Diceros bicornis minor: one gene and its partners. The protein of the gene in region 4 purifies or fractionates together with the protein of the main gene of each other region. This does not show direct contact. Links are inferred from orthologs where the notes say so. Each region holds a gene or a part of one and is shown on either strand. Other genes may lie near its edges. The genes, in order: PIP4K2A, COPS8, FKBP5 and STK11.

Region 1 (7,834 bases), on a different chromosome or scaffold from region 4:
CTCATATTCATAGACTTCCTTTCTCTTAAGGATTCTTTGTGGTCTCAGGCAACCTTCCTCTCCCCCTACATATAGGAAAATAGTCTGTTCCAATACAGACTTAGTTCAAAAATAACTATAATATACAGCAAGGAGTAACTTAAAAGGCTATTCTCTTATAGGAATTGGGCTACTATGTTAAATGCCATTATTCTGTTATTTATTTAACCAGAAAAGATTGTTGCATTTTTAAAAATTATTATTAAAGTAATATATATGCATTTTAGAAAATTTGGAAAATGCAGAAATATATTTTTAAAATTATCCATAATCCAAACTGCACTCCTTATATATCACTGTTACCAGTATGACATATTTTATTTTAGTCTTTTACACATATACATTCACATACACATTTTATAATATTAAAACCATACCTATATACAATTTTGTATCCTGTTTTTTCACTTATATTAATATCATGGTATTTTATGTCATTACATTTTCTGTGAAAGTATCATTTTTGCTGGTTGTGTTAAAGTCTGCCATATGGATCTACTGTCATTAATTGCTCTCCAATGTTGGAAGTTACTATTTCCATTATAAAAGTATACATAATAAAGATATAATGCCATTGGAGATTGACTCCTGTCCTCCACACAGCCTCCTGTCTTCTAAGGGGGCTGTTCAAGTTCTCATCCTCTGCTTGGGGAGTGGAGAGGAAGTGGGGGCAGGATGGAAGTGTTACCCTATGTGTTGGCTCCTTACATCCAGTCTTCTCCCAGTCCAATCTCCCCAAGTCAGGCCAACAAAACAGCTGCCAACTAAGTGGTAAATTCCTGGAATTGCTGCCACTGTCCTGGAAGTCCTAGCCAGCTGCAGAAGCCAGGAGATTCACCATCAATATTTCAGTTGGGTGGACAACCTCTACCAGCTGGTGCCAAACCACAGCCATCCCAGGAGGGATTTGGACAGCACAGCTAGACCCTCAGAACTCCCAGATGGCAAGCTGTACCACATTATGTCAACACCTTCCCTCTCAAAAGTAACTCACATGTCATAACTGAATTCTTGGATCCCATTTATTGCATTTTGGCTGGGTTTGACTGTATATGCACTTTAATAATGGTCTTCCAAAATCATAGCATTTTGAATGGCAAAGCTCTGGATGACACTACAGAAGATAGAATGGAATTGTCCCAAATCTTGCTCTGATCTCCTGACAGAGCAATGAAAAGCATAAAAGCTTCCAAATAGCACTAAGGAAGTTACTGAATTCCTCTTCTCAACGAAGAATTCTTCTTGGAATCATTCAATTGGGGAAGCTATTTTTTGATGAAAATGGTAATAAAATAAAAAATCAGAGCATCCACTCTATTTCAACCTCCATTTCTGGTATTGTATACTTTAGTCAACATTATACTTTTACCATGCTCTTCTAGAATAGTAAATACAGTTGGTTACAGTAAAAGAAAGTGAGAAGCAACAGGAATAACAAGCAGAAACAAGTCAGTATTGGGAGGCTTTCAAGCTTCCCATTTCCTTCTCTCTTCTTAGGGAAGTTGGCTGCTGGAGCATTTCTTGCAGCTGTGATGGCCTTGGAACCTGGATCAACAGCCCAACAGGCCAAATGCAAAGGGGTAGGAGCAGCGTTCTCCTTGACTGACAAGACCACATACCCATCCTGCGATGGAACTTCCTTGCTCTTCTTTCTCTAGCCATGCATCTGGTTAAGATCATTGTTGAATGCTGGCAGTTGGGTTGCTTCAATCCTTGACAACACGAGCAGCCTGAATAAGGTACTGAACCAAGGATATACGCATTGTTTCCTTATCACACAAACTCCAGATGAAAACAGTGATCAAATTGCTACATTGCTAAACCCACATAGTATCTAACCCTCAAATTTAAATACTACATCTAATCTAACCTAATTTCCCAGTAAAGTATATCTGAATGGAGACTTGCACAAACATTTCCTGGGTGTGGAATCTTTACGTGTAACTTTGTTGTGAGAGGTGAAAATTTCCTTTTCATTTATTCACCAAAACTTTGCCATAAGTGCTATGGAAAGGGAGTATGTTAGGTTCATTGGGAGGATACAGAGTGAGTGCCACATGGACTCTGCCTTCAAAGAGTTTTTTGTCTCCCAACAAGTCAGGAAATCATTTAAATTTCTCTTGATCTCAGTTGTCTAATGCATATAATTTGAGAAGTGGATCAGGTACTTTCTGAGGTCATTTCTGTGACTCTCAAACTCCTGTATCACACACTCCCTCTGCAGAGTACAAAGTTAATGTGAGAGGTCATTGGCAAAGTCATTTAATGACCTACTTATGAATGGCATTATATGAAATGCCATTCAAAGCAACTTAACTCACCAAAAATCCTATCCCTTAACAGTACTGTATTATATACTTGAAAGTTGCTAAGAACGTAAATCTTAAATGTTCTCATCAACACCTACACATACACACAAATGGTAATTATGTGTGATGGAGGTGTTAACTAACCTTATTGTGGTAATCATTTCACAATATTACATGTATCAAATCATCAAATTGTACACCTTAAGCTTACCGAATGTTACATGTCAATTATATCGTAACACAGCTGGAAAAAAAATTCTGTCCTTTAAAAGCTGCAAGTCTCCTTACTATCTGACAATATCACATGGATTTTCATCTCCATGCCTATGCCCCTGTCTGCCCCCAACAGAGATGACACCTCGTGCTCCCCATCATACCTTACCACCCTCCTACTTAAAACCTCACTTGACAGTGCCCACGGGTATCCACCTCCCCTTCCTGTAGGCTCATTCAACACTGTCATCACTAAATTCAGTTTTTTAGCATTTACAGCTAGCCTATTGTCTTGCATTATTAATATACAGTTAAGTACAATAGAGCTGTTATGAAACAAAAGTACTACGGAAGCACTGAAGTGAGTGGATTAATTTCAACTAGGAGGATTGTGAGAGCACCCGGAGAAGAGATAATATTTGAGCACAATTGCTTTCAAGGGCAGGGCCTGGTAAAGGGGTTTATGTGGAGTGGTGCTGAGAGGCAATAATCAATGATGATGCTAAGCTTTCAATCCTGGGTCAACAAAAGTTTGTTAAACAAATGAACTTCTAGCTAGGGTAATTGAGTGATATGAATGCCTTTTCTAACATAATAGAAAAATGAAGCAACACGTGGGATGGAGAAAGATGCTGAACTTTGTTTTAGACACCTTTTTAGGTGCCTGTGGACAATTGATGTAGAGATGTTCAACCAGGCATTTCTCCAGGGTCCAGGGAGAATTTATGAGTTATCTGCAAATACTTACCTTTTATCTTGTATGTGTATAGTGCTGTATGATTACAAAGCGCTTTTCATAGCCATTGTCCACTGTTGATTTTGATTCTAACAAACACCCTATAAAGTAGTAAGGCAGAATTATACTACCAGGCCCAGAGTAGTCCCTAAAGTGACATCTGTGTCTGATTATCCCTATTGTTAACACAAAGAACCTGATGCTCAGAGAGAGAACTGATTTGCTGAATAAGTGGGAGAACTGCGCTACAACACGTCTTCTTACCACAAATTTAGGTGTGTTTTTTTAACCACTAAGTGGTGATGGTTGATGCTGGGGGAGCAGACATCATTTTGTACAGCAGTATGAAACAAGAGGGAAAGAACTCCAAGAGGACTTTGGGGCAACCCCTACGTCTAAAGAACCATGAGAGAAAGAGGAGGAGCAAATGAAGGCGACCACATGACCTGTACTCCCCATCTCCATGAGACTCACGCTCCTCAAGGGACAAGGGTCTGTCATCCTTTGTCTCCCTGACAGAACCAAGCAGATTACCAAACACACAGTAGGTATCCACACAATAGGTATTTGAGTGGAGTAATAATGACAATAGAGAACATGCTTGCCCAGTGCCCTGAGTCAGGGTAAGTCCTAGAACAGCATGATGATTACCGAGGAAGATATAGAGTTGGCAGGTTTTTAGACATACTTGGAATGGTAGCTGACTCAGCTGGGTCAGGTAGTCCCAGTATTAAGAAGGGCTAATTCAGGGATGTAAGGAACACCGTGGATGAAGATGCAACTTCGGGCATGATCGGCCTGGCCAAACCAAGGGCTCCCGATGAGGAATGTAAAGTCTTGCCCAGGGAGGGTTTTGGTGGTGGTAGAAATGACAGCCCAGCGTATTAGGTGGGAGTCTCCCTTCTGCATGACTCCGAGAGTGTGGGAAGGCCCAAGTCCAGGGTCCTAAAGGCCCGATGGTTAAAGGCACAAAGGGATTAAGAAATTCATTCCCGCCCCACTTCGGGAGGCGGCCAACGATGCGCCCTGCTCCTTTCCCTCGGTGCGAGGGAAGCCCTGGTCTCCATGTAGTATTTCAGGTCTCACTAGCTCTCCTGACCTTTGGCACGGTGAGTGGCCGTTCCCTGAGCCTCCTTCACTCGCCTGACCACCGCCCTCCTCCGACCTCCCCACTCTCCCCATCCTTCCTTCCTGGGGAGCAGGAGGGGATGCCCTGCAGGCGTCCTCCTGCTCCCCGCGCCGCACGCGCCCCCGCGGCCTCCTCAGCGGGCCGGGAGCGGCGGCCCGGAGCTCGCCTGCGCACAGACAGGGGGCGGCCGGGCCCCGCGGAGCCCGAGCGGGAGCCGGAGTGCGAGGGCGCAGCTTAACGGCCCCGCGGCCGCGCCCCGCGCCCCGCGCCCCGCCTGGCGGCGCCGCAGCTGCTGCCCGCCCGCCCCCTGCGTCATGACGCCGGCGCCCAACGCGGAAGCCGCTCGCGGCGCGCCTGGTCCAGCCGCGGGCTGAGCGCCGAGCCGCGGCGGGCGCGGGATCCGGGCCGGGCGCGAGCCGAGCGCAGCCTCCCTCCCCAGCCGGGCCGAGCGGGCAAAGCGGGCCGAGCGGGGCCGAGCGCGCCGGCGGTCGGAGCGGGGCACGGCGCGCCGGGGCCGCCGCCGGGGGGATGCGGCTGCCTCCCCGGGCCGGCGTGTAGAGAGGGCGGGTCCCCGGCCTCGGGAGCGCGGCGGTGGAGGGGACAGAGGCGGCGGCCATGGCGACCCCCAGCAACCTGGGGTCCTCCGTCCTAGCGAGCAAGACCAAGACCAAGAAGAAGCACTTCGTAGCGCAGAAAGTGAAGCTCTTTCGGGCCAGCGATCCGCTGCTCAGCGTCCTGATGTGGGGGGTAAACCACTCGGTAAGGGCTCGGGCTGCGGCGCGCAGTCCCTTTCCTCCTCCTCCTCCTCTTCCTCCTCGCTCCCCTCCTCCTTCTGCTGCAGCTGCTGCGGGGCGGGGAGCCCCAGCGGGGCCCCGGCCCTCCGGCTGCTCTCCCTCCGGGGCTGCCCGCCCGCCGCGGCGCCTCGGTGCCCCCAGCCTCGCGGCGCGCGCCCGCCCCTCCGGGCCACCTGGGCGCCACTTGGACCCCCTTTGGACGTAGGGCCGGGTGCAGGACGAGGGGTTCCGTCTGCATTTGAACCCGGCGGCCAGTGCCGCCCCCCGGCCGTCCGCCCGCGGGTCTGTCCCCGCACCCCCGGAACTGGGAAGTTTGTGCGGGGCCCGGCTGCGCCTGGGCTGTCAGCCCCGGCGGGGGCTGCTGGGATCAGTGTCCTGGCGATCGCTCCCTTCTGTGGCGGCGGTGGGGCGGCCGGGTCCTCCGCGCAGGTGTACCTGTCCCAGGCTAGGAGCGTCCGGAGCCTCCCCGCGGGCGAACAGGGATGAGAATAGTGGAGATCCGGGAGATTGGAGCAGCGGCTTAGTGCTTAGGTCCTTTTTTTCCTTTAAAGGCGGTATCATCGGACACAAGGAATCTTTTGGGCAGAGAAAAAGCCCGTGTAAATATGGCACTGGTGTTTTAGCATCTTCCTCTGCTCTCGCCCGCATCGCCCTGCCGCTGTGCCGGCTGAGGAGCTGCTTGGCGGGGAGTCTTCCTCCCCACTCCTCCTCCCCCACCTTGGGGAGCCAGGCCGAAGTCACCGACTGCGGAAGGGCGGCCCGGGGGATGACAGCGGGAGGGAGTCTTGGCAGGCGCGGATAGAAGGTGGTCTTGGGTTGACTGCACCCGTTTGGGGAGCTTGTTTAAAAGGCTGGAGGAGAGCGCTTGGAAAGGTTAGCTTAACACCCAGCCGGAGGTGATGGAAGGTGCGCCGCTGGGGGCTATGCGGACTGCGGTTTGAGGGTCTGAAAAAGCCTCCTGCTGATCTTCCAGCGAGAAACTCCTGCAGTTTTAATCTCCTTAGAATCAGGAAACATGATCGGAGCTGTTGGCTGAGCCGTGCAAGTTTAAATGAGCCTGTGAATTTTGGCCGTGACCTTACTCACTGCAGTCACTTGGCATCTGAGGAAAAGTGTAAGCTTGGTTTCCCTACTTTTGATTTCAATGGATGTCTGTGTGTTCTTTTCAGCATAATAGAAATGACAGAAAACCGTGTTGGTGTTTTAAAGAACAGTCTCAATTTAATGAAGGTGTTTAAAATGGCTCAAAAGCATTGTATTTGTATTTTTCTTCTGCCAGCTGAGCTGGGGAAAAAGGTGAAACAGTACCAGGATTGATTGTGTTTGCATGGAGTGACTGTTTTTAAGAAGGTTGAGAAATGATTATTTCTATCAGCCTAACGCCTGATTTCTTGAAGTTCATTTTAACTTCCTGACAACTTCTTTAGCAATTAGGAATGTAAGCTTTTACAACAGCATATATTAATGCACCAAAACTCTCCTGTTTTATTATAGTAAATAAAATGAAATTTTTCCTACGTAATAAGTCTACAATTTAGAGTTATGTCTAATTCTGTAAAGCTTTTTTTTATTATTTCTCTTGTTAGTTTCCTTTTTAAAAAAATTTATGTTGTTAGTTCTGTATTTATGGGTGCTTTTATCTCCTTTGGAGTTGTGTTTTGGTCAGGAGTATGTTTGTATCTGAGTTTAATCTAGTAAAGTAGTGTCAACAATATGCTGCTGAAAAAGAGTCTGAGAATTAGTCTGAATTCCAGTTTACTTTGGAAAATCTTCTAATTGTGCATGTTTTACTGTAACCATTTGTGTTGCTACCTTATATTTATGAATTGCTACATTTGTTTAGACTTTCTTGCTAGTTGGAAATATTTTGCAACTACTTAAGGCTTATAAAATAATGTATGATTTGTAGACAGTGAATTTCATGTTATTTTCTTTTGCCTACAAGAAAAGTTAGCAATTCTAAGTATCGTCATAAAAGGAGTCAAGTTTCCATAGTGTGTAATGTAACAATGTTATTCATTCAGCAAATTATATTGGGCACATAGGGTCAGCCACTGTGCAAAAGATTGCTCAAAATGCCCCTCATATTTTTGTCCAAATATCTTTATGTTGAGGGCTCTGAGTTGACATAAGAAAGGTCTGTTTCACAGCCTTGTTTTTCAAAATGTCAATTTTCTTTCTTATTTTTGAAAAAAAGAAAGGACGTATATATAAAGATGAAATCTAAGCACTTAGTGCCATGTATTTCTGGTTGATTTCATTTTAGGTGACAAAGACTGACATTAGATAAATGTTTTTATATGACCTTGTGTGCACCAAAGTTTATAGTATGAGAATAAATATGTCAGCATTGTTAAGAAGGACCAAGCATAGTGTTGTATATGAATGGGGATATTTGACAAAGCATAGCAGAGAAGGAACAGATCATTCACATCAGTTTTTCCCTACATTTCTAATGTGATCAGAATTAATGGGAAAAGATTTGTCATGAATATATAGCAATTTCATGCTTTTAAAATTCATTTGGGTTTGTCTTAAGGACAATTAGAGATAACCATACACGGGGCGGCCCTGTGGCTTGGCGGTTAAGTGCGTGCGCTCCGCTGCTGGCAGC
Region 2 (7,097 bases), on a different chromosome or scaffold from region 4:
TTTGCAATAAACACCACTCTAGGAAACTGCAAAAATCAGTTAAAAAAACAAAACAAAAACCAAACGTTTATCTAAACTGCCTCAGTTATTTACCAGGTCAAGAAGTGACCTGGTAAAAGAAATCTTAAGAAATCTGACCCATAGGAGCTGAACACAGATTTCTATACCATCCAAAGCAAAACCAATTGATTAGAAGGATTTGTAGATGTATTTCTTTTTTTTTTTTTTGCTGAGAAAGATTCGCCCTGAGCTATCATCTGTGCCAATCTTCCTCTACTTTGCATGTGGGTTGCCGCCACAGCACGGCCACCAACAAGAGGTGTAGGTCCGAGCCCAGGACCTGAACCCAGGGCACTGAAGTGGAGCGTGCTGTGCCAAACTTAACCACCAGGCCATGGGGCCAGCCCCCTGTAGATCTATTCTTAAACTTTAATACCAGTTTAATAACTATTTCTGTGAACCACATGGATTAAAAAAAAAAAAAAAACTTTTAAGAAGTTGCCATTTAAATGAACGTCATTACTATATTAAGTAGTAAAATATATCGAAAGAACACTTACAGATTTTATAGCAGGTGGTATTCTTTTCCAAAGATATCTTGCATTATTCCTAATTTACATCCCCCCAAGAAAGAATAAGCAATTAAAAAAAATCACCAGGGTAAATGCTTAAATTCTAGATCCCAATGCAAACACACAGAAGTATACTTTAAAATACTCTATATAATACAGAGTGAAATTTAGTTGTATATCAATTTGTTTAGGGGAAGTAAGAGCAGATTTCCAAACAAAAAGACACGAAATATTTTTACCAAAGTAACATTTTGCCATTTAGTGAATTTTTATTAATGATCCAGATCTTAAATTAAGGCAACAGTACACTAAAAACACAGACTTAAACAGAACTGCCTGCCTAAATAATTTATTCATATATGTAATGAGCAAATGTACACACTTTCAGAGCTCTGGCATTCCTTGACAATACGACTGCTACGCAATGCTTTTATCCTTATCATGACCCCTCCTCCTACCAGTGGGTAGAGAGCCACCAAAACTTCAAGGCAGTTTTTAAGAGTCTGGAAGCTTGAACTACATCAAACATATGACGACGGGATTACAAAAAAACAAAACAGGTAATTTATATGATATATGTGTAATAAAAATCTGTTTCGTTTTTTAAAAAGATATGAAATGAAAAAGTTTAGAATTTAAAACAAAATTTAGCAGTAATCATTGATGGGCCCTACAACTACAAGGGACTCCTTTTGCACACTTATGCTTTCTGACCTCTCTTCAACCAACACCAATCAGGAATAATTAAAAAACAAAAGCTTTTAAGAAATCTCATACATGTTGGTAACGAACTCCTCTTAGCTTTCTCAATCTTCCCTTTCAGTTTCTCTTGGTCTACTGATTACACGTGAAGTTAAGTAAACAGAGGTCATAAGAGAGTTTTATAAAAATACAGAAAAGAAAAAGTCAAAAGAATTAAAGGAATTTATTGACACTGTTGTTTCTCATAACAAATTGGAATGTTTTTTAGAAGGTATATGTAAACAAGTGTATTTTAAAATAACTTAGCCTAGTCATAGTTTCTTAAGTCATGACTCAATAAGGAAACAGGTATACTGACTATTATAATAAAAGATATAGCTCCTTGTGCCTATGTTTCAGCGACGCTACTTCAATGCAAGAATAATTTCTATATAACCTTGAGGAAGCTGCTGCTCTTAGCTTTAGGTAGGAGGTACTTACATGTCATTATGGAGCAGATATAAAGCTAGAAGCTGACCATACACTGGGGGTGTTGCAATTCCTCCAGGAGCCTAAAAGGCCAAAAATGAAACAGAAAAACCTCACTATTCCTATATTTTTATTTTTAAAAAAGCATTTTATTAACACCAATCTAAAAAGTAAGCATATTTTATAGTACTTACTGTAATAGATGTAGAAGTATCAAACACTAAAAACCAGAGTTTCAAGTTTAAATCTGTCCTCAGCTGTGATTTATCTCCCTCTAGGCCCCTGCATCTTTATCCTCACAAGAATATTTAAATGGGATCCCTTACCCAGTTCTCAAACTCTCATTTAAACAGTCTTAGTATCACCTACAAGAAACAAATATTCCCAACAGATTCCTAAAGCATTATGACCCTGCCCATTAGATCAAATACGTGGAATATCTAAGTAAATGAGTGATCAACAGAAAAACATCAGAGCATCAGAACATTTGTCTCCTCATTCAAAAAACATCTAAGTGTCTATCAGTGAGTTGCTACTTGCGGCTGCTGTCTCCTTTAGTCAATTAACTTTTTATACTAACGTTATAAATGCTTTTTAAGTGCCTTTTTAAGGAAAACACTAACGTTAATAAGTGCATGATGATACAACTTTCACCTGTCTTGCTGTAGACAATACGGCAAGCTTACATGATAACACTATGAGACTAAGAAGGGCTTTCTGGGTTAATAAAAGGTTAGAGTGGTCACATCTTCTTTGGTCTGTGTGTGTGACTGCACAAATGTCTTTGATAAAAGCCACATTCCCCCACAACGAGAAGTTAAGATGTCTAGACCAATTATTACGGAAGCATATTGGAGGATGTCAGGAGCAAAGACGCATGAGGTTTTCGGGCTCACTAGATGAAGACACATAACAAGCTCCCAGCGAGGTCGCGGAGGCCGGGCCTGGATCCCCAGCCTTCGGAGCAGGCTGCAGCATCCCGGGCTCCACACGCCGGGCTCCCGCGCCGCCAGGCGCCCGCCCCAAGGCCTGCGGGCCACAGGCCCCGTTACCCTGGAGACTGGCGCCGCCCGGGGCCGCCTGCGACCCCGCAGTTTCTCCCAGCGCCACGCGAATGGCTACCTCGAGCTCCTGGTTCTCGCACTGATCCAGCAACTTTTTGAAACTAAAGGCACTTTCCGCCATCACTGCCACTGGCATCTTCCCGGCCGGTTCTGCCGCTGCACCTTCTCAAGACCCAGATACCTCACCGTCCCTCGGGGCGTCGCGCCCGCGATGACGTACAAAGCCGCCTACGCCGCCGCGAGCCAGGCGCAGGCGCGCCGTCGGTTCCGGCGCATCGATGGACGTCACTGCGGCCGGGCGGGGACGCCGCCGCTCCGGCCCGCACTCTCGGTGCTCTGGAGGACTGGCCAAGCCTCGCGGGAAGCTGCTTTAAGCGCGGGCCCGAACTCAGGGTGGGAGGGGATTTGTGCATATTTGCGGACTATTAGATGTCTCCACTTTGAGGCTTGATACACAGGCACACTTAAAGGCTCAAAACCTAGCTTTTGTTTCTCCCCCAAACCCGCCCCTTCAGCAGCCCTTCCCGTCTCAGTGAAGGGCACACCGTCCTTGCGCGCGGGGCTCCTCTCCTGCAGACCCCACGTCCGGTGAAGCTGCGCTCGCTGGACCACTGACACTGCTGAACTTCCGTGCTCTGCTGACTTCCACGCCTGCCTCCCTGCAGGCTACTCCCTACACAGCAACAGCAGCCAAAATGATCTCTTCTGAAACATAAACCAGATCTTGTTGCTCTTCTGCTCATATTCCTAAAATCCAGAGTCCTTGCGGTCGCTTAGGCTGCAAGTTCTGATTCCCAGATCCTATCCGACTTGCTTCAGCCATCCCGGCCTCCTCAGTCTTCTGCACAGTGCTTACTGCTAGCGCACATTACATTGCATATTGTTTATTTACATATTTGGTTTGCTGCCCTTACTAGACCACCAGGGAAGAGGCTTCGATTTGTTCCCTGAGGTAGGATTGGCTACATAATTTGTGGGCACAGAGAAAATTGAAAATGCAGGACCCCTTGTTCAAAAAACAGGAGTGTCATGAAAGGTAATATAATATAAAACTGTTTCCTTTGTTCGCAGTGTCTCTCTCAGCTTTTCATAGCAGTTTTTAATTTGCTATTTAATATCATTCTAAGTAAAGAAAAATGGAAATTTTAAATTATTAGCTTGAATTTTACCACCCATCTTTATATTGTGCAATGCTAGTGTTAAATACAAATATAAGTGCATTTAACTCAGGTAGAATCACAGAAATTACACAATTCTTATCTCAGCACATGCGTGCATGCATATTTTGTTCTTATCAGAACCTTGGAAATGCCACACAAAACTAACTCAGCTGTTTTTCATGCACTTGGTTTTATGCAGGTGCTCTACCACCACTTTCTACCTTAGGCATTCTGATGAGTTAGGAAGAACTGAAAGGAAAAGGAACCGTCCCTTTCCTGCTATGTAATCATTTTCATCACAGTCAAAGGAATATTTCAGCATAATACAAGGAAGTAACATCAGTAAGAAAGAATAGGATAGGGTTCCTTGATTGGCTGTGTTTCCTAGGACACCATTGCCTTCAGTTTGCATTTGAAGCAAGTTCAGGTTCTAAGGGAAAATGTGGCCTCTCTGGGCTGTCAGTGCCCAGCTTACTCTATTGTAGACATAATACGCTTACCTTGTACTCACTTTGAGTCTTGCTGAACTCCCCACCATTGGGTCCAACAGGAATTCTATGTTCATAGGGTATTTTAAACTCTATATGGAATGGCAGTGAACACGCATATTTCACATATCTCTTCACTCACGTGGAAATGCTCTGTGATCCCAAAGGGCGTCATTTACCAAACACAAGCTCAAAGATAAAACTATTAAGAATTTCAAGACAGTGACAGCCTCACTGATTATTTTTGCAGAATCAACAGTTTCCATGTGGAAATGATTGTGTTTAGTAATGCTTTGGATGGACTATAAAGATTACAAAATCACTCCAAAAGTCCCTCAAAGTCCTTAAATAGGAAAGCATGCAAATAGCAAGTATAACTAGAGACATTTTGGAGGAATAAAGCCACAAAGTTGCATGAATCATACGAAGAAGGAAAGGACTAGGGCAAAATGATTCTAAGGTCATTCGACATAAGTTTGAGGAGCAGGATTTTGAATTTTCAACATGTAATAATGGCTCCCAACCTGTTTTGGACAGAGAAAGATTTTGTTGCATCAACTGCCTGGCAATTTGATCATTTAAAGGGAAAATTATGATTTTAAATCTTTGGGAAGTGCTTTGGGCTGCAAAAGGTGAAGATGTAATAGATGGTTCTTTGCTGAACAGAAAAATCCCAGTGAGGCTTTGGAAATACCATCACAGCTTAGAGGTAAAGTCTGGGGTGTCATTTAGAGGACCAAACTGTTCTTGAACAGACAGATACAAGGATCTGGGAACTGGAGGCTGACAGCTAGAGAGGGGAGGAAGGGGGTCTTGGGAGAGGGAAGGAGGGCTCTGGGGGTGGGGAAATGGAGCAATTGGGGCCTAAGGCAAGACCCTGGCCTGGATTCAGAGGACTCCAGGTGGCAGTGAGAGGCTGATGGATTTCCAGGGCTGTGATGGTTGATATTCATTTTTCAGTTGTTACTGTACTGTGCTGCATCTAACTTTACCCCTAAACTTTCAATAATAGGAGAAGTGAGGAGTATGATAAAGGGCAGTGTGGTGTAAAGCCAGTAATTTCAGGTGGTGGGACTCAGAAGAGAGATCAAGACTTCGTAGGGGCCGGCCCCATGGCTTAGCGGTTAAGTGCGTGCGCTCCGCTACTGGCGGCCCAGGTTCGGATCCCGGGCGCGCACTGATGTACCGCTTCTCCAGCCATGCTGAGGCCGCATCCCACATACAGCAACTAGAAGGATGTGCAACTATGACATACAGCTATCTACTGAGGCTTTGGGGAAATAAAAGGAGGAGGATTGGCAATAGATGTTAGCTGAGAGCCAGTCTTCCTCAGCAAAAACAGGAAGATTAGCATGGATGTTAGCTCAGGACTGATCTTCCTCACCAAAAAAAAAAAAAAAAAAAAAGACTTCACAGAAGCAAGACAGTAGAGAAGAGGCCACCAGAAGGAAGCTCTGCTCCCTGGAGATGCTGACTCTGGGGCAATGAGAGGCTGCGTTTCCCACTGCACTTGGGATGAGGGATGGTTCAGCACACTGAAGGGAAGTGTGGGCTCCTGAGGCTGAAGGATGTGGGTCTCATATCCATTCCCCCTGGCTTAGCCCTCTTGTGCAAGTTGCCCCTCCTCTCTCAACTCTTGTCAGAGGAGAAGCACAGTCATTGAGGAAGTTGGAAATTGGAGAATGGCTAATTCAGAACTCTGAAATTTCACCTGGTTCCTGAGGAATCCACTAAAAAAATCTATTAGAACTAATCAATGGATTCAGCAAGATTGTAGGATAGAAGATCAATATTCAAAATCAGTTGTATTTCTATACACTGTGAACAAACTGAAATTAAGAAAACAACTTCATTTACAATAGCATCAAAAGAATAAAATACTTAGGAATAAATTTAAGAAAAGAAGTGCAAAATTTATACTCGGAAAACTATAAAATATTGTTGAAACAAATTGAAGAAAACCTAAATAAATGGAAATACATCCCTTGTTCATGGATTGGAAGATTTTATATTATTACGGCAATACTACCCACATTCGGATTCAATGCAGTCCCTATCAAAATCATAGATGGCTTCTTTGCAGATATTGACAAGATGATCATAAAGTTCCTATAAAAATTCAAGGGACACAGAAGAGCCAAAACAATCTTGAAAATGAAGAACAGTTAGACTCACACTTTCCAATATCAAAACTTAACTACAAAGCTACAGTAATCAAGATAGGGTAGATGTGTAGGTCAATGGATAATAAGAGTAGACATATAGATCAATAGAATAGACTGAGAGTCCTGAATTAAACCCTTGCATTTACAGTCAGTTAATTTCTGGCCAGTCTGGCAAGGCCATTCCATGGGGGAAAGAATAGTCTTCTGAACAAATGGTGTGGGGACAACTAAATATCCATATGCAAAAGAAGGAAGTTGGACCCCCTACCTCACACCATTGACAATAATTAACTCAAACTGGATCAAAGACCTCAATGTAAGAGCTAAAACTAAAACATCATTAGAAGAAAACGTAGGGTAAGTCTTCATGACCTGGGGTTATGCACGAGTTTTTTAGATATGACACCAAAAGTCCAAACAACAAAAGAAAAAATAGATAAATTGAATGTTACCAAAATTAAAAACTTCTGTGCTTCAG
Region 3 (6,942 bases), on a different chromosome or scaffold from region 4:
CTATGAAAAACTATGTGGGTTTCTATGAAACCCACATAGATACTAGATGTGGGGTTTTATCAGGTTGAGGATGGCTGCCTGTTTTTGTAAATAAAGTTTTATTGGAATACAGCTATGTCATTCATTTACGTATCGTCTGTGGCTGCTTTGTGCTATAATGACAGAGTTGAGTAGTTGTGACAGAGACCATATGGCCTGCAAGCCTAAAACATTTACCATCTGGCCCTTTAAGAAAAATTCCGCTGACATCTGTTTTAAACTGCTAACTTTGGGGATAGTTTGCTATGGAGCAATATACAACTAAAACAACTTCCCATCTTCGCCTGGGACCTCAAAGAACTGCAGCATTGAGGAAAGGGGGACCATAAATAAACAGAATCTCCCACAGACTGTAGTCCAGCCTCAAGGCATCTGGGAGGCTCAGAAAACCGAGTCCTGAAATTGGGTTAAGGTGATCCTAGCTTGCTGGTGTCCCCAGACGCCTGCTAAAACAAATGGAAGTCCTTTCCAGAGGAAGATATTATCATCGTTGCCTCAAATGATCTTTCAAATACAACATCCAAAACACAGCCAGATACCTGAGGAGATACAACAACATGAGGAAGAACCAGTAGTAAAAACTGACAACGGAAGTGGACCCACAGGGACTGCAGATTGGAATTAACAGACACAGACTGTAAAACAACTATACTTACTATGGAGAGAAAAGCCAAGCTTGAAAATTATAGCAAGGCACTAAGAGATATAAGAAGGGAAGGGACACAGAATGTCTGAAAAAGAACCAAATAGAAATTCTAGAACTAAAAAAAAAAAAAAAAAAAAGAATAACCAAATTTAAGAGCTCCATGGATGCGTTTAAGAGGAACATTTTTTTTTTCCAGTGAGGAAGACTGGCTCTGAGTTAACATCTGTTGCCAATCTTCCTCATTTTGCTTGAGGAAAATTGTCACTGAGCTAACGTTTGTGCCAATCTTCCTCTATTTTGTATGTGGGATGCCACCACAGCATGGCTTGTGAGCAGTGTGTAGGTCTGCACCTGGGACCCTAACCCACGAACCCCAGGCCACCAAAGTGTAGTGTGCAAACTTAACCACTATGCCATCCGGCCAGCCCCAAGAGGAGAATTTTTTAAAAAGCTGAAGAGAGAATTAGTGAACTGAAAAATAGTTGGACTAAACTTTTAGAATGAAGCATGGAAGGACAAAAGATAGAAAATAAAGAAGAAAGAGATGTAGTGAGGAAGTCTAATACGTGTTTCAATTGATGGCCCAGAAGGAAAGAGGAAAAGGTACAGAAACAGTATTTGAACATATAATGGTTGAGAATTTTTAAAAATTGATGAAAAACTATTCAAAAGGTGATAGGCAGCCATGAAATGACATATATCCCTCCACTATGTGTTCTGACTCTTATTAAAACAGTACATCCTTCATGTACAAATCTGCTTGTGAAAGGATTCTGAAACCAACACAGAGGTAGCTCCATAGTGGATGGAATAGGGCTTGGGTAGGCTGAGTTCAAGTACAAGCTCTGCTACTTTCTAGCTGGGCCACCGGGAGAAGGGTGCCAAACCTCAGTTTTCTCAGCTAATAAATGGAACTAGTAATACTGACCTACCCCACATTGCCACTGTGAGAACCAAATGACAAGATGAACGTGAACAAATCTAGTGAATGCCAACTGCTTTAGAATGAGATATGGTTTGAGCAGAATCACAAGCATTCCCAGGGGCAACTAACAGCAACAGGGAGGACTGGCTACCTAATTTGCAGGTCCCAACACACAGTGGAAATTCAGAGCCCCTCACTGAAAAATTTTTAAGAATTTCAAGATGGTGACAGCAGAGCATTAAACCAAGCACAGGTCACATGCCCATGAAGCCAGCTTTGGTAACAGGCCCTGCCAAGAACTGCTCTGTGCATTAGGAAAGGGCTGCTCATCCCACACCCAGGTGTCTGCAGCCAGAGCCCACGTTATCTTTGAGTTCTGAAGGGCAGCAATGTTTAGGGAAAATGCAAGCACACGTGTTTCCAAATGCCAAGGAGGGCAAGTGAGTGACCGGAGTGGTTTTCTGAGATAGTGGGTGGGGCCAGCCAGGCTGCCATCGGAACTGTGGAACTGACTGTTCCCCACAGACTCTGGCCTAGAAAAAAAAGCCTGCAGCTGTATCTACAGGGCCTGTTGTTGTTTGCCGCGGTGTGTTACAACACAGCCTGGCAGCCTCCCGGGCCTTTCTGTCTTCCTCCTGGGAGAGCCTGGTCTCAGAGCATGTGACATGGCCACATGGCCCTGCAGATTTGCCCACACTGCTCCTCACTGTTCCCTCAGTTACTAGGCTTTTCCAGGTCTGCATGCTTTTTGCTCATGCTTATCCCTCCCTGCCCAGGAGCCCCTTTCCTCCCTCTTCCACATCCCTCTGTCTGGCAAACACCATCTTTTAAGAGTCCATCTTGTAAGACTTAGCTCTAGTGTCACCGCTTCAATAAAGCCTTCCCTGCCTCTCTCAGGAAGAGCCGATTCCTCCCTCTGTGGAGCCCTCCACTATGCCCTCTGCAGACATCTGTCACAGTCCTTGTAACATGAGGAGCACTGACATGTAATGTGGATGTCACTGTCTCTCAGGCGTCAAGGGCTGGGATAATTTCTGCTCACCTCTGTATTCTCTTCACATAGCACAATGCTTAATACTTGCTGTTATTAAGCATAGTAGATGCTTAATCAATTGGTGTTGGTATGCAGAGGCGTTTTAGTCATCTTTCTGAATTAACGCATACATAAGTGGTTTGAGCGACTCTCCCTGGCAGCTGGTAAAAAGGAAAGCTTCTAGGCCCTGAGACAGGGCTCTTGCCCTTGAGGAGGTTTCAGTGTTGGCTCTAGTTGTCTCTTCTGCAGACCCTACCTCTTGAAGGCAGGACTGTTGATTTGTAGAAGAGACTCTTCACCGTAATATAGTGCAGAGAGTAGATTTGGAGCTAGGAAATGCGGCTTGTCATCTGGCTATGAGACATTAGGTTTCCATAGGTAACTATTAAGTCCCATAGCTAACGGACTACAGGCTTCTGTTTCCTCAAAAACGAGGGGATTGAGCTAGGTATTCCCTAAGGCCCAGGTGCAGCTAGTTCAGTCCCCTTATCTGAATCTCTATGGGAGCGATTCAAAGGTGGCCATCTGGTTGGAGAGGCCTGTGCCCCTCTTGAAGCTGAGTTTGCTCAGCAGGCGACCTTTTAGGGGACGGGGGCAGAGAACACACATTTTTCAAGGTCCTCTGCCGTCCCAATCGCCTGGAATCTCATGTTTGAAAGGTAAAAAGCCACGGGAAAGCATATTCTTCCCAGGCTCCCAGTGTCCAGAGAGAAGTGCTCTGTGCTAAATCGGTTCTGAGATGGGATTTTCCCCAGTTTCGACTGGGCATCTTTGACTTCCTGGGGTTGTTTCCTGGGGTTAACCTGGCCTGTTTACCTGACACAAACAGCCAAGCCTGCCCCTCTCCATCCTCCTGGCAGGCGGCTGGACCGATAGGAGGTCAGAGCTTTCAGAGAGACGATTCAGATGTGAAGTCAACTAGCTTGTTTAGGTGTTCGTTTCTCTAGAGGTAAGGGCCGGTGTGAGGGGGTGCCGGTCGCTTTCCTCCACCCCTCCACTCCGGCCTCCACAAAGGGCGACGGCCAGACACGTGGGCTGGTGCGGAGAGGCGGAGGTTACACTAAGGCGGAGGTGCAAATGGACGGGGGCGGGACCTCATTTGCATGGACGGCGCGCGGCCACCAATCCGGACAGGCAGAGCGGCAGCCCGCGCGCCTTTTGGGGGCGGACTGACAGCCCCGGGGCCCTATGGAAGGCGGGTCCTGCGGCCGGCGGGGGCGGGCCGGCGCCGGGCGCTGCCCGGGGGATTCGGGCCGGCTCTTGGGCGCTGCCAGTCTCGGGCGGCGGCGTCCGGCGCGCGGGCGGCCTGCTGGGCGGGCTGAGGGGCGAGCGGCGTGCGAGTGAGGCGGAGAGAGACGGAGACGACGGGCGAGCGCGGCGGCAGGTACCGGCGCCATGGCCGCAGGGATGGGGCGGGCGACCGCGGCGCCCCGGGAGCCGAATTCCCTCCGTCGCGGTCCGGCCGCCTCCCCGCTCCCTCACGCGGCTCCCCGGCCCGGGAGCGGCGCGCGCGGCCGGCGGAGCCTCGAGGCCGGCGCGCCGGAGGCCCCCAGCCCCAACGCGGGGCAGGCGCGGGGCCGGGGCTCCTCCGGGAGCCGCTCCCGCCCCGCCGCGTTCCCCTCGGGGAGGCGAGGCCGGGCCCGCCCGCCCGTCCTCACCCGGCTTTTGTTTCCCGCCCGGGGTGACAGGTCCCGGCCCGACTCGCCCGAGGCGGGAGCCGGCGGCGGGACCCGCGGAGAGCTGGGCGGCGCGTGAGCAGCAGCCGGCGCGGGCGGGAGAGCAACTTCGCCTTCCGGGGCCCGGGCGGCGGGCGCAGCGAGCGGGGCGCGATGGAGCCGCGCTCACCTGGCGGGGCCTGTGCAGGGTGAGGATCTCGAAGGGTCCCGCGGCCGGCGCCTCGGCTTTCGCTTTGCGCTCCCCGGGCGGCGGGGGTGGATGCGCGCGGCCCGCCTTCACCTGCCGCCCTGGGACGAGTGAGTGGGAACAGCATCCCGCTCTCGGCCGCTCTTGGAGGGTGCCGGGGCAGCGCTCTTCTGACAGGTGATACTCTAGAGCCAGGTGAAAGCCAGTGAAAAGTTGTTTCAGGGCTCCTTGTCCATTTCCCTCCTGGGGCGTTCTGACGCCTCATTGAGTCTAAAAAGGTGTTCTGGCGACTGTAGAGGCGTCAAACCCAGTATCGATGAAAAACCATTTGGGGGGTCAGCGTGTGGGTTGCCTTCTTTCGATGCACGAGCCAGGGGGAATCTTGTAGTCTCGTTTAAAAACTCGGGTTCTGCAGTGGTGGCGAAAGCCTGGGAAGGTACAAGTTGTAAATGGAGAATGCAGAAGTCTAGATATCCTCAGTGTGGTTCAGGACAGAGTGTACAGCGTTTGGCCGCCATTCAGTAAATTCTGCATGAAGCAGTTTGAGCTCGTGGTTTTGGATTTACTTTTCAGGAGTATGTTTTCCAGTGGAATAAGGCTTAGCATTGAATGGGAGCTTTCTTTGCCTCTGGGAGGGTAGACAGGAGTGTTTATTTTCATTGTCTTCTCATTTTGTTAGATTGTGGACGAGGGAAAAGTGAAGGCATATTTTGGTTAAGTATTTTTGTAGTCTGTGGGAGTTCTGCCGAGCTCCCCCACCAAGAGTTCTTACTTTAGAGAATTATAGTGGCTTTTTCTCTTGGTGTTCCAATCAAAATTCAAGGATAGCCTTGAAGAACTTCTTATTCTTGGGGGAAATTTTTATTTGTCATACTTTCACTTATTTTCTGTCTCCCAACTGACCTCCGCTTAACAATCTACAATTATGGCCTTGACCACTTTAGGCCCTGACCAGTTTATCAATATGTTTTTTAAAAATATTTTTTAAATGAGGGTTAATAAGAGTCATCATTTGTGAGAAACACTTGATTTAGCTTACTCGTTTTTTTTCCTATTATGTGTCTCGTTGGATATCTGTATTGGGTATGATTTATACTTGAGATGTTAAGTTTAACTTCTTAAGAACAAAGTTGTAATTTTGATCTAAATGCTACTTTATTAATATTTCATTGAATGGTAATTTTACTTATTTACCTAGCTAATTAGTAACACTATTTAAAGGTGAACTCTTTAACCAATAGGCTAGTTGTGACTATTTGAGATTTAAAAAAAATAGAGATGGTCTTTATAAAATGTTTTATTTCTCTAAAACAACAGGCCTGTATGTTATGAGTTCTTTGTCTTTCTAACTTTTAACAAAACAAGTATGTTTCTGAATCTTTTTTTCAGTTATGGGAATTTTGGGTTAATTTATTTTTTAAAACATAATTTTAACCAGTTCAACATGAAAAACTTAAAATATTGGATTCGGCAGCTAGTTAAATCTTCAATTTTCAGTTTATTCTTGGATTGGAAAAGAATGCATATTATAGGCTAGTTTCCTAAAATGTTTCTTAGTTTAGAACAAATTAGTCTAGAGAAGAAAGAACATCCTCTTTCTATAGCTGTAGAAGAGGTTATTGCTATTAAAAAGCTGTATTGGCTTTTTGATGCTTAGTGAGGGTAGATTGGTTGAACAGTGACTCGTCCTCATGTAGAATGGGTTTATTCTATATAAATAGTTGTAAGCAATCTTATAAGAGTGGGGCTCTCATTGTTTTGGATGATTTATATAATTGCACTTTAAAGTGTATAGGAATATATTAGTTTAGCTACTGTGTGTAATTAGACGTTTTATAATCTTTATCCTATGATAATGCTTAAATATACTACATATCATAAATTAAAGTTATATTTCATAGTTTTATTTGCACAAAAGCATGTTTTAGGAGCTTTAACTATAAAAGTGCCTTTTAATTAAAAGCCCGTTTTCAAATTCAATTTTTAGATATTTTAATTACTAATTTTTTGTCCACTTTAATTTGTGGTAGACCATATCATAAAATTATCAACCACATTTCAGTTTCAAAATTAAGCATAAGTTGAATTCTTCTACACAATAAACAATGGGAGCGTTTTTAAGTCAGTTACTCTCAGGCGTGGCTCCTTTTGAGTTTGAGGATGGGCAAATATTTTTGAATGAATAAAGCCACAAAAAACAAGGACCTATGTTAAAACAGCCAAATTTGAGAATAAATCAAATGACACTGTTAGACATTAATAATACTTTATAACAGTAATATGCATGTTATACCTGGCATTAAGAATATCCTCTATAAGCCTTTACTATAATTTTTCACAATTCCTAAAGAAGAATCTATGTTGTACATATTTTGGCACACTTAATTTTGTAATTATTTAATGCTGAACAATTAAATATGTACATTTCTAATGCTG
Region 4 (7,047 bases):
TAACTTGAGGCCCCCTCCTATAAGCTGGGGCCCCTCAACGGCAACCTGAGACCCCACCTCTAACCTGGGGTCCCACCTGTCACTCGGGGCTCTTAACAAAACCTGCGGGAGGGTGAGGATGGGAGAATGCAGAGAAAGGATTTTCCCAGGGCGACCACAGGTACTCATAACCTTCGTCTGTTCCTGCTACTACCGTTCCCATTCGTCACAGTTTGCCCCCCCAGAGGTCAGGCTGCCTCTTTCAGTCGGGAGCGTCATCGCTGTCTCCGAGTCTTCTCTCCGTGGTGGTTCCTAAGGTCACAGAACATGTCACTGCCACAGCGTCTTCCATCTGATGACATATGGTATTGTTAACCCCCACTCAGAGAAACGGAAAGTGAGAGGCCAAGACCCCCCAACTGAGGACTTCCGCCGGGCAAAGGGCTGGGGCCGAGAGAGGGTCCCTGGAGAGGCTTAGAGCAGCCCCCACGGGGGTCTCAGGCCCTGTGATGCTGGGAAGGGCTCTTAAATCTGGTTCCGTGTTGGCCTGCCCTGGGTTTGATGCTTGCTAGGAACTTTTACGTAAGCAGGACAGCTGAACAGCTCCGAGACCCCCATCACGCTGAGCAGACGGTGCTAGAATCCTCGCAAGGCTGCTGGGGCTCCCAGGCTGGGCACGCAGCTCCACCAGGGACCTGGGCAGGTGGCTTCCTTTCTGCAAGCCTCAGTCGGCTCACCTGTGAGGGGGACGGAGGGAGGACTTTAGAACATTCCATCACCCCAAAAAACAGCTCTGTACTCCCTAGCAGTCACTCTCCACCCCCTCCCCAGCCCCTGGCAACCACAAACCCACTTTCTGTCTGTGGATGTGCCTGTTCTGGACATTTCACATCAGTGGAAACACACACCGCGTGTCCCTCTGTGTCTGGTTCTCTCACTGAGCATCGTGTGATCAAGGTCCATCCACGGTGTGGCTGTGTCAGGGCCTCACTCCTCTTCATGGCTGAGTAATACTCCAGTGTGTGGATGGACACGTTGTGTGTATCCATCATCCGTTGATGGACATTTGGGTTGTCTCCACTTTTTGGCTGCTGTGAATCAAGGTGCCGTGAACATTTGTGTACAAGCTTTTGTGTGGATGTGAGTTTCCGTTTCTCTTGGGCATATACCGAGGAGTGGAATTGCTGGGCCATACGGTAACACTATGTTTAACCTTCTGAATTTTTTTCGAAAGTGGCTGCACCATCTGTATGAGAGTTCCCGTTTCTCCACATGCTTGCCAATACTTGTCATCGCCCATTTTTTTGATCGTGGCCTTCCTAGTGGATATGAAGTGGTTAATTTTAATAACATTTTTTTTTAACCTAACACATCCAATTATATCATTTCAACGTGCAATCAATGTAAATTATTGAGATATTATATGTATTTTTTCTCATGCTAAGCCTTCAAAATCCAGTGTGTAGTTTACACTCACAACATCTCAATTTTGGCAGCCATATCACAAGAGCTTAATAGGCACATGTGAACAGCGGCTGCTGTACTGGACGGCACAGCTCTCATTGCTGAGGATGCAGCAGTGACCACGAGAAACCGACCCCGGCCCCCAAGAGCTTCCAGTCTAGTGCCAGAGACAGAATAAAAACAGATAATGAAATATATAAATGAGAAAATTTCTGAAGGTGACAAGCGTTCCAGGGAATCACCAGGAGGGCTTCTCGGAGGAGGTGGCATCTGAGGCGAGATTTCACCTTCACGAATTCTTTCTGCAACAGTCACCAAACATTTCCCAAGTTCCTTCCATGTCTCCTGCACATCGGGAGAGGGGTGTGGGCTCCGCGAAGGAGAGCAGGGCCTACATGGGCCAAGATTGTCAAACACACCCCCAGCTTCCAAGAAATTTCAGTTTAAGGCAGCACTCAAAAACACAGAGGATACCGAAAGGAATTTAAGTTGGGCAGTGTTCCCTCCTCTTCTGCTTCCAGGCCAGATTTTTTAGAACGGATGTTATTTCTTCCTGAAATGTTTGGTGGAAATTCACCAACGAGATATCTGGGCCTTAATTGTCTTTGTGGAAAGGTTTTTCAGTACAGATTTAATCTCTTGAATAGACATAAGACTATGCAGATGATCTATTTCTTCTTGAGTGAGCTTCTATCTCAGTGTTTTTCAAGGTATTGGTCCGTTTCAACTACGATGTTGAATTCATGGGCATAGAGTTATTCCCAGTATCTAATCCTTTTGCTATCTGTAGGGTCTGTAGTGACATCCCTTCTTTCATTTCTCACCTGTGTCACCTTTTTTTTTTTTTTTTGAGGAAGACCAGCCCTGAGCTAACATCTGCCAATCCTCCTCTTTTGGCTGAGGAAGACTACCCCTGAGCTAACATCCGTGCCCATCTTCCTCTACCTTATATGGGACGCCACCACAGCATGGCTTGCCAAGCAGTGCCTCGGTGTGCGCCCGGGATCTGAACTGGTGAACCGCAGGCCGCCGCAGCGGAGCACGCGCACTTAACCACTTGCACCACCGGGCCGGCCCCTGTGTCATCTTTTTTCCTTGGTCAATCTGGGTAGACTTTTACCAATTTTTTTGATCTTTTCAAAGAACAATCATTGGTTTCATCGATTTTCTTTATTCTTTTTCTATTCTATTTCATGTGTTGCTGCTCTGATCTTTATGAATTCCTTCTCGAAAGGAATTTGGGGCTAATCCACACATTTTTATTAGGGCTTGCTGGTCTGCTGCTGTGGCTTGTGCCCTGTCTCCTCAGAGCCACACCAATCCCCTTCTACGGGTCATTTGTGAATCTCATGGATGTCCGGAACAACATGCATATGGGCACGCTCAATTTCGTGCAGTTTTAGGGAGTTCACAGGTCTCGGGTTCAGAACCCCCAGCCCTGAGCCCCAATGCTTCCACTTTTTGGCTATTTGTGAAACAAGAGCTTTACTCAAGACAAGCGGTTTGCTCTGACAAAAGAATAATCTAGTGCTAAAAAGCAGAAAGGCAGAAAATTCAGGTATGGGAGGTACTTTCAACTTCATGGAGCAGTATTGTGCCAATTCTTTGTGTTTTCCACCCAAAGCACTTGGCTGGCACCGCCCCCGCTCTGTTCTGAGCTTTGGCTCCTGAGTTCTTTAGGGTAGAGACCGTCCAGAGCACCTCTCTCGCCCTCCAGCCCCATTGATGCCTAGTGATGGCTTTTTGCCTCCCATTGGCCACTTTGGGCTACTTTTTGACCCTTGACCTCGCCTCCAGGGGGCTTTCGGACGAGGGGCCCTAGCAGTCACCCCCAAAGGTCCCAGAGCCGCATCCCGGCCCACGAGGGCGGTGCCCACTCCCTGGCCGTTCCGAGGAGGCCGTTAGCACTCACGACCTTCGACCCCAGCCTCAAACCCCTCCGAGGTCAACCCCGCGGCCTCGCCTCCCCACGCTCCCTTCCCGCCCCCTCCGCGTGACAGGCGCTTCGGCGGGCCAATGAGCGAGCCGTATCCACCCCTGGGGCGGGGCCGCACGCGGGCCAATCCCCGCTCGCCCTCCCCCCGGGTCCAAATGGCCCAATCGGCGGCGGCGACAGGGCAGCCCGCGGGGGCGGGGCCTGCCGGCTCAGCCAACGGGCGGGCACGTCGGCGCCGCGAGGGGCGGGCCCCGCGGCGGGCGTGCGGCGGCGCGGCGGCGCAGGGCGGGGGCGGGAGGTAAACAAGATGGCGGCGGCGTGTCGGGCGCGGAAGGGGGAGGCGGCCCGGGGCGCCCGCGAGTGAGGCGAGGGGCGGGCGGCAGCGGCGGCGGGGCGGCCGGACTGCGGCCGCCTTGCATGGGCTGGGCCCCCGCGCCGCCCCGCCTGCTTCACGCGCGCGGCGACTGCGGCGGGGGGACGCGCCGCCCGTGCCCCGGCGGCCTCGGGAACCCCCGGCCCGGGGCCTGCGGCCTGCGCCGCCTCGGCCCCCCGGAGCCCCGCGGGTCCCCCGCGCCCCGAGGACCGCGGCCGACGGCGTTCGGGGCGCAGAGCGAGCGCGGGCTGCCGTTTGGGGCGGGGGGCGCCCGCCGGGCGCGCGCGGCCTCTCGGGGGTCCCCGGCAGGTGTGGGGGCGCCCCAGGGGCAGCCGGATCCGACGGAAGTTGCTCCCCGCGGCGCGAGGGCCCCGGGCAGCCCCCCGGACCCCCGACGCGCGCCCGGGGCCGGCGAGAGCGCACCGGGCCGGACGGAGGCGCCCCCCGCGCTGTCCGGATAGGCACCTGCCGGCGTCTGGGGCGCCCGGGACGGCGGAGACCCCCCAACACCGCGCCCCGGCCCCGGCCCAGCTCGTCCGCCCAGCCTCGGGGTCCCGGGACCGGCCGGCCGCCGCGGGGCCCCGGCGCGCGCCCTGGCCCGCCGGTAATGGACGGCCCGGTGGAGACCCGGCTCTGCGGCCGCCGCGTTGGTCCGAGGGTCTGAAGTCCCTGGAGGATGACCTAGCACTTCAGCGCCCCGAGGGCCCCCGTGGACGCGCCCCAACGACCCGGAGCTGCGAGGCCCGACGGCACCCGCACTCGCCGCCCCGCACCGTCGGCGCCCGCGCCCCGGACCAGGCGCGCCTCTCGAACTCTCGTCTCGTACAATCGTTTCTTTTCGAGGAAGGGTTTTTTTTTATTTCTTTTTTTGCGTTTTTGTTGACTTTTTTTCCGGAGAAGGGAATTTTGGGGGGAACGAAAGGAAGAACCGCTCACCCGGGACTACAGTAAGGGGCGTCAGGGCTGCCGGCCGGAGTCGGAGGCCCGGGGTCCAGGATGGATGCGGCGGACCCGCAGCAGCTGGGCATATTTACGGAGGGCGAGCTGATGTCCGTGGGCATGGACACGTTCATCCACCGCATCGACTCCACCGAGGTCATCTACCAGCCCCGCCGCAAGCGGGCCAAGGTCATCGGCAAGTACCTGATGGGGGACCTGCTCGGGGAGGGGTCGTACGGCAAGGTGAAGGAGGTGCTGGACTCGGAGACGCTGTGCAGGAGGGCCGTCAAGATCCTTAAGAAGAAGAAGTTGCGGAGGATCCCCAATGGGGAGGCCAACGTGAAGAAGTAAGTTTGGGCTTCCTGGGTCGGGCGCCGCCAGCCGGGGACTTTGGTCGCCCGCCCTCCCTCCCTCCCTCCCTCCTTCCCTTCCTTCCTTCCTTTTTTCTTTCCTTTCTCCCTCCCTCTTCCCTCTCTCCCTTCCTTCCGTCCTCCCCTTCCTTAAAAACCTGAGCTGACCAGCCAGCTCCCGAGTCCTCCCTGCCAGGAAGAGCATGTTTGGAAACCCGCTTAAGTACTTTCAGAAAGTCGGGACAGGTTGTTGCTGCGGGGCGTCCGCCTGTCAGTCTGTTGGGGGGCGGATGTCCAAGCCCTCCTCCGAAGGGGGCGCGCCCCTCTCCCCCCGACCCTCCCAGCTGTCCGGAGCACTCGGGTGCCCGGTGCAAGCAGCCAGTGTTTGGCCCTGAGAGCGTGTGCTCAGAAACCGCCAGGGCCGCCGGCAGGTCTTGGGCGCAGCGTGCGGCCGGCGCTGGGGCCAGGCCAACACGCTTTGTTGATCCTGTCGGAGGGGAGCCCTGCGGTGGCCAAGTGATTGTTTGCACCGGCTTATCAGTCAGCAGGGGGCAACTTAGCCCTTTCTTGCCGGCCTGGGTGGTGACACTGGACGTGTCTGTGACTGCAGGCCCCGGGGACTCCCCCCTCCCCCAGAGGGGAACAGGCTTGTGTCCAGCAAACTTTTTAAACAAGTATTTTTGGAGCCCGTCTGCCCCAGGCACCTCGGCAGGTTTGGGGTTTGTGAGCAAGAGTTGCCCCAAGGACGGAGGTGGGGAGCTTTGCCTCCTTCCCTCTTGCCAGTTTCAGGAGGGGGCCCCTTATCGCTGCCGCCTCGGTGCACCCCGCCCCTTGGCGCACGCTCCCCTCCCAGCCTCCGGTTTCCAAGAAGTGGCTTATCTAACAGGCTGGCTGGTGGCAGGGCTGACTTATGACCTTGGACGGTCCACAAGCTTGCCAGGCCCGTCCTGGGCAGTGCTGCCCCCGGATCCGCTTTCACCTGCCTCCTTCCCGGCCCGGCCCGCTCTGCCTGTCTGCACAGCCCGCGAGCTGGCTGTTTTCCTGCTCTGGGACAGCCTGGGGGTGCTGGTGTTGGGGTCGGAGCGAGAACTGAAGCCGGGCTGGCACGGGCTCCAGAGCCGGTGCCCCTTGCTTGGTGGAGCAGTAGGCTTCTTTGGGGTCGGCCGGCACGGTGGGCAGTGTTGGGGTGAGGTCTTCTCAGTCTCTGTGACCCAGCCTGTGGACACTGGGAGGAGGCGTGGCCGGGCACCCCCGGCCCCTCCCTCCGTCAGTCCTGTGCCAGTCTCTTACCTGTGAGGTGGGGGTTGGGTGGGGGCCACAGCATCTGGGGAGAGACAGGCTGGGGGACCCCTCACCCCAGTCAGAAATCCCCACTCCACTGCTGGCTTCTCGTTAAGCCTGGAGCACGTGGGGGTGAGGCGGCTGCCTAGCAGGTTTACCCCAGCTTCGGGTGGGGGACAGTGAGCTCCTGCGTTCTGGGTGCTGACTCTGGAAACAGATCCCCTCCCGCTCTCCAGGGCCCCTCCTTGTCCTGGCTCCTGGTAGGCCTCGTGCCCCGTTCTGTCCCGGGAACAGGGTGCTGGTCTCTTCCTGCCTGGCCGAGCCCTCCAGGGTGGAGTCGGCCCGGGTCCGGGGGGTGTTCTGGTGCTGTGGTGCCCCAGGCCCCAGCCTCTCGGGAGCAGCGCCCTGCGGTAGGAGGGTCTCCCAGAGTTTGGTCCAGGGGGCCGGGTCCCAGCTCCGACTGGGCTGTGTGGCTGGAGGCACCCGAGCCCAGCTGCTGGCCGTCCTGGGGCTTCAGTGTGTAAACCCGGCCAGGGGCAGCAACTGGTGGCAGCAGAGTTGAGGGGTCCCTGGGGGGGGGTGTCAGGGTGGGCAAGTGCCCACCTTTGCTAAGGCCTTGTGTGCGTGTGATCAAGACGCTGGTTTTCAGAAACGCTCGCGCCCAAAGTCAAGTCAGAGGACGCTTCACCACCCCGAGGAGTTCCCTTCTGCTCCACGGGGCACAT

Evidence for each region.
Region 1: the proteins of STK11 (region 4) and PIP4K2A purify together in Homo sapiens (affinity purification with mass spectrometry; 3 studies listed by BioGRID and IntAct, counting the BioPlex papers as one, with this or other methods). This does not show direct contact. The link is inferred for Diceros bicornis minor from reciprocal best matches to the Homo sapiens genes STK11 and PIP4K2A.
Region 2: the proteins of STK11 (region 4) and COPS8 purify together in Homo sapiens (affinity purification with mass spectrometry; 3 studies listed by BioGRID and IntAct, with this or other methods). This does not show direct contact. The link is inferred for Diceros bicornis minor from reciprocal best matches to the Homo sapiens genes STK11 and COPS8.
Region 3: the proteins of STK11 (region 4) and FKBP5 purify together in Homo sapiens (affinity purification with mass spectrometry; 8 studies listed by BioGRID and IntAct, counting the BioPlex papers as one, with this or other methods). This does not show direct contact. The link is inferred for Diceros bicornis minor from reciprocal best matches to the Homo sapiens genes STK11 and FKBP5.

Annotation. Positions count from the first base shown.
Region 1 is NC_080775.1:22,294,900-22,302,733, reverse strand, and holds the start of PIP4K2A (phosphatidylinositol 5-phosphate 4-kinase type-2 alpha), read left to right. Parts: upstream 1-4,827; 5' UTR 4,828-5,041; coding exon 5,042-5,185; intron 5,186-7,834. UniProt on the Homo sapiens protein: Catalyzes the phosphorylation of phosphatidylinositol 5-phosphate (PtdIns5P) on the fourth hydroxyl of the myo-inositol ring, to form phosphatidylinositol 4,5-bisphosphate (PtdIns(4,5)P2). Has both ATP- and GTP-dependent kinase activities.
Region 2 is NC_080776.1:24,644,432-24,651,528, reverse strand, and holds the start of COPS8 (COP9 signalosome complex subunit 8), read right to left. Parts: upstream 3,010-7,097; 5' UTR 2,943-3,009; coding exon 2,865-2,942; intron 1,826-2,864; coding exon 1,755-1,825; intron 610-1,754; coding exon 561-609; intron 1-560. UniProt on the Homo sapiens protein: Component of the COP9 signalosome complex (CSN), a complex involved in various cellular and developmental processes.
Region 3 is NC_080753.1:29,091,726-29,098,667, forward strand, and holds the start of FKBP5 (peptidyl-prolyl cis-trans isomerase FKBP5), read left to right. Parts: upstream 1-3,927; 5' UTR 3,928-4,027; intron 4,028-4,358; exon of another isoform or gene 4,359-4,507; intron 4,508-6,942. UniProt on the Homo sapiens protein: Immunophilin protein with PPIase and co-chaperone activities. Component of unligated steroid receptors heterocomplexes through interaction with heat-shock protein 90 (HSP90).
Region 4 is NW_026691553.1:693,831-700,877, forward strand, and holds the start of STK11 (serine/threonine-protein kinase STK11), read left to right. Parts: upstream 1-4,027; 5' UTR 4,028-4,748; coding exon 4,749-5,038; intron 5,039-7,047. UniProt on the Homo sapiens protein: Tumor suppressor serine/threonine-protein kinase that controls the activity of AMP-activated protein kinase (AMPK) family members, thereby playing a role in various processes such as cell metabolism, cell polarity, apoptosis and DNA damage response.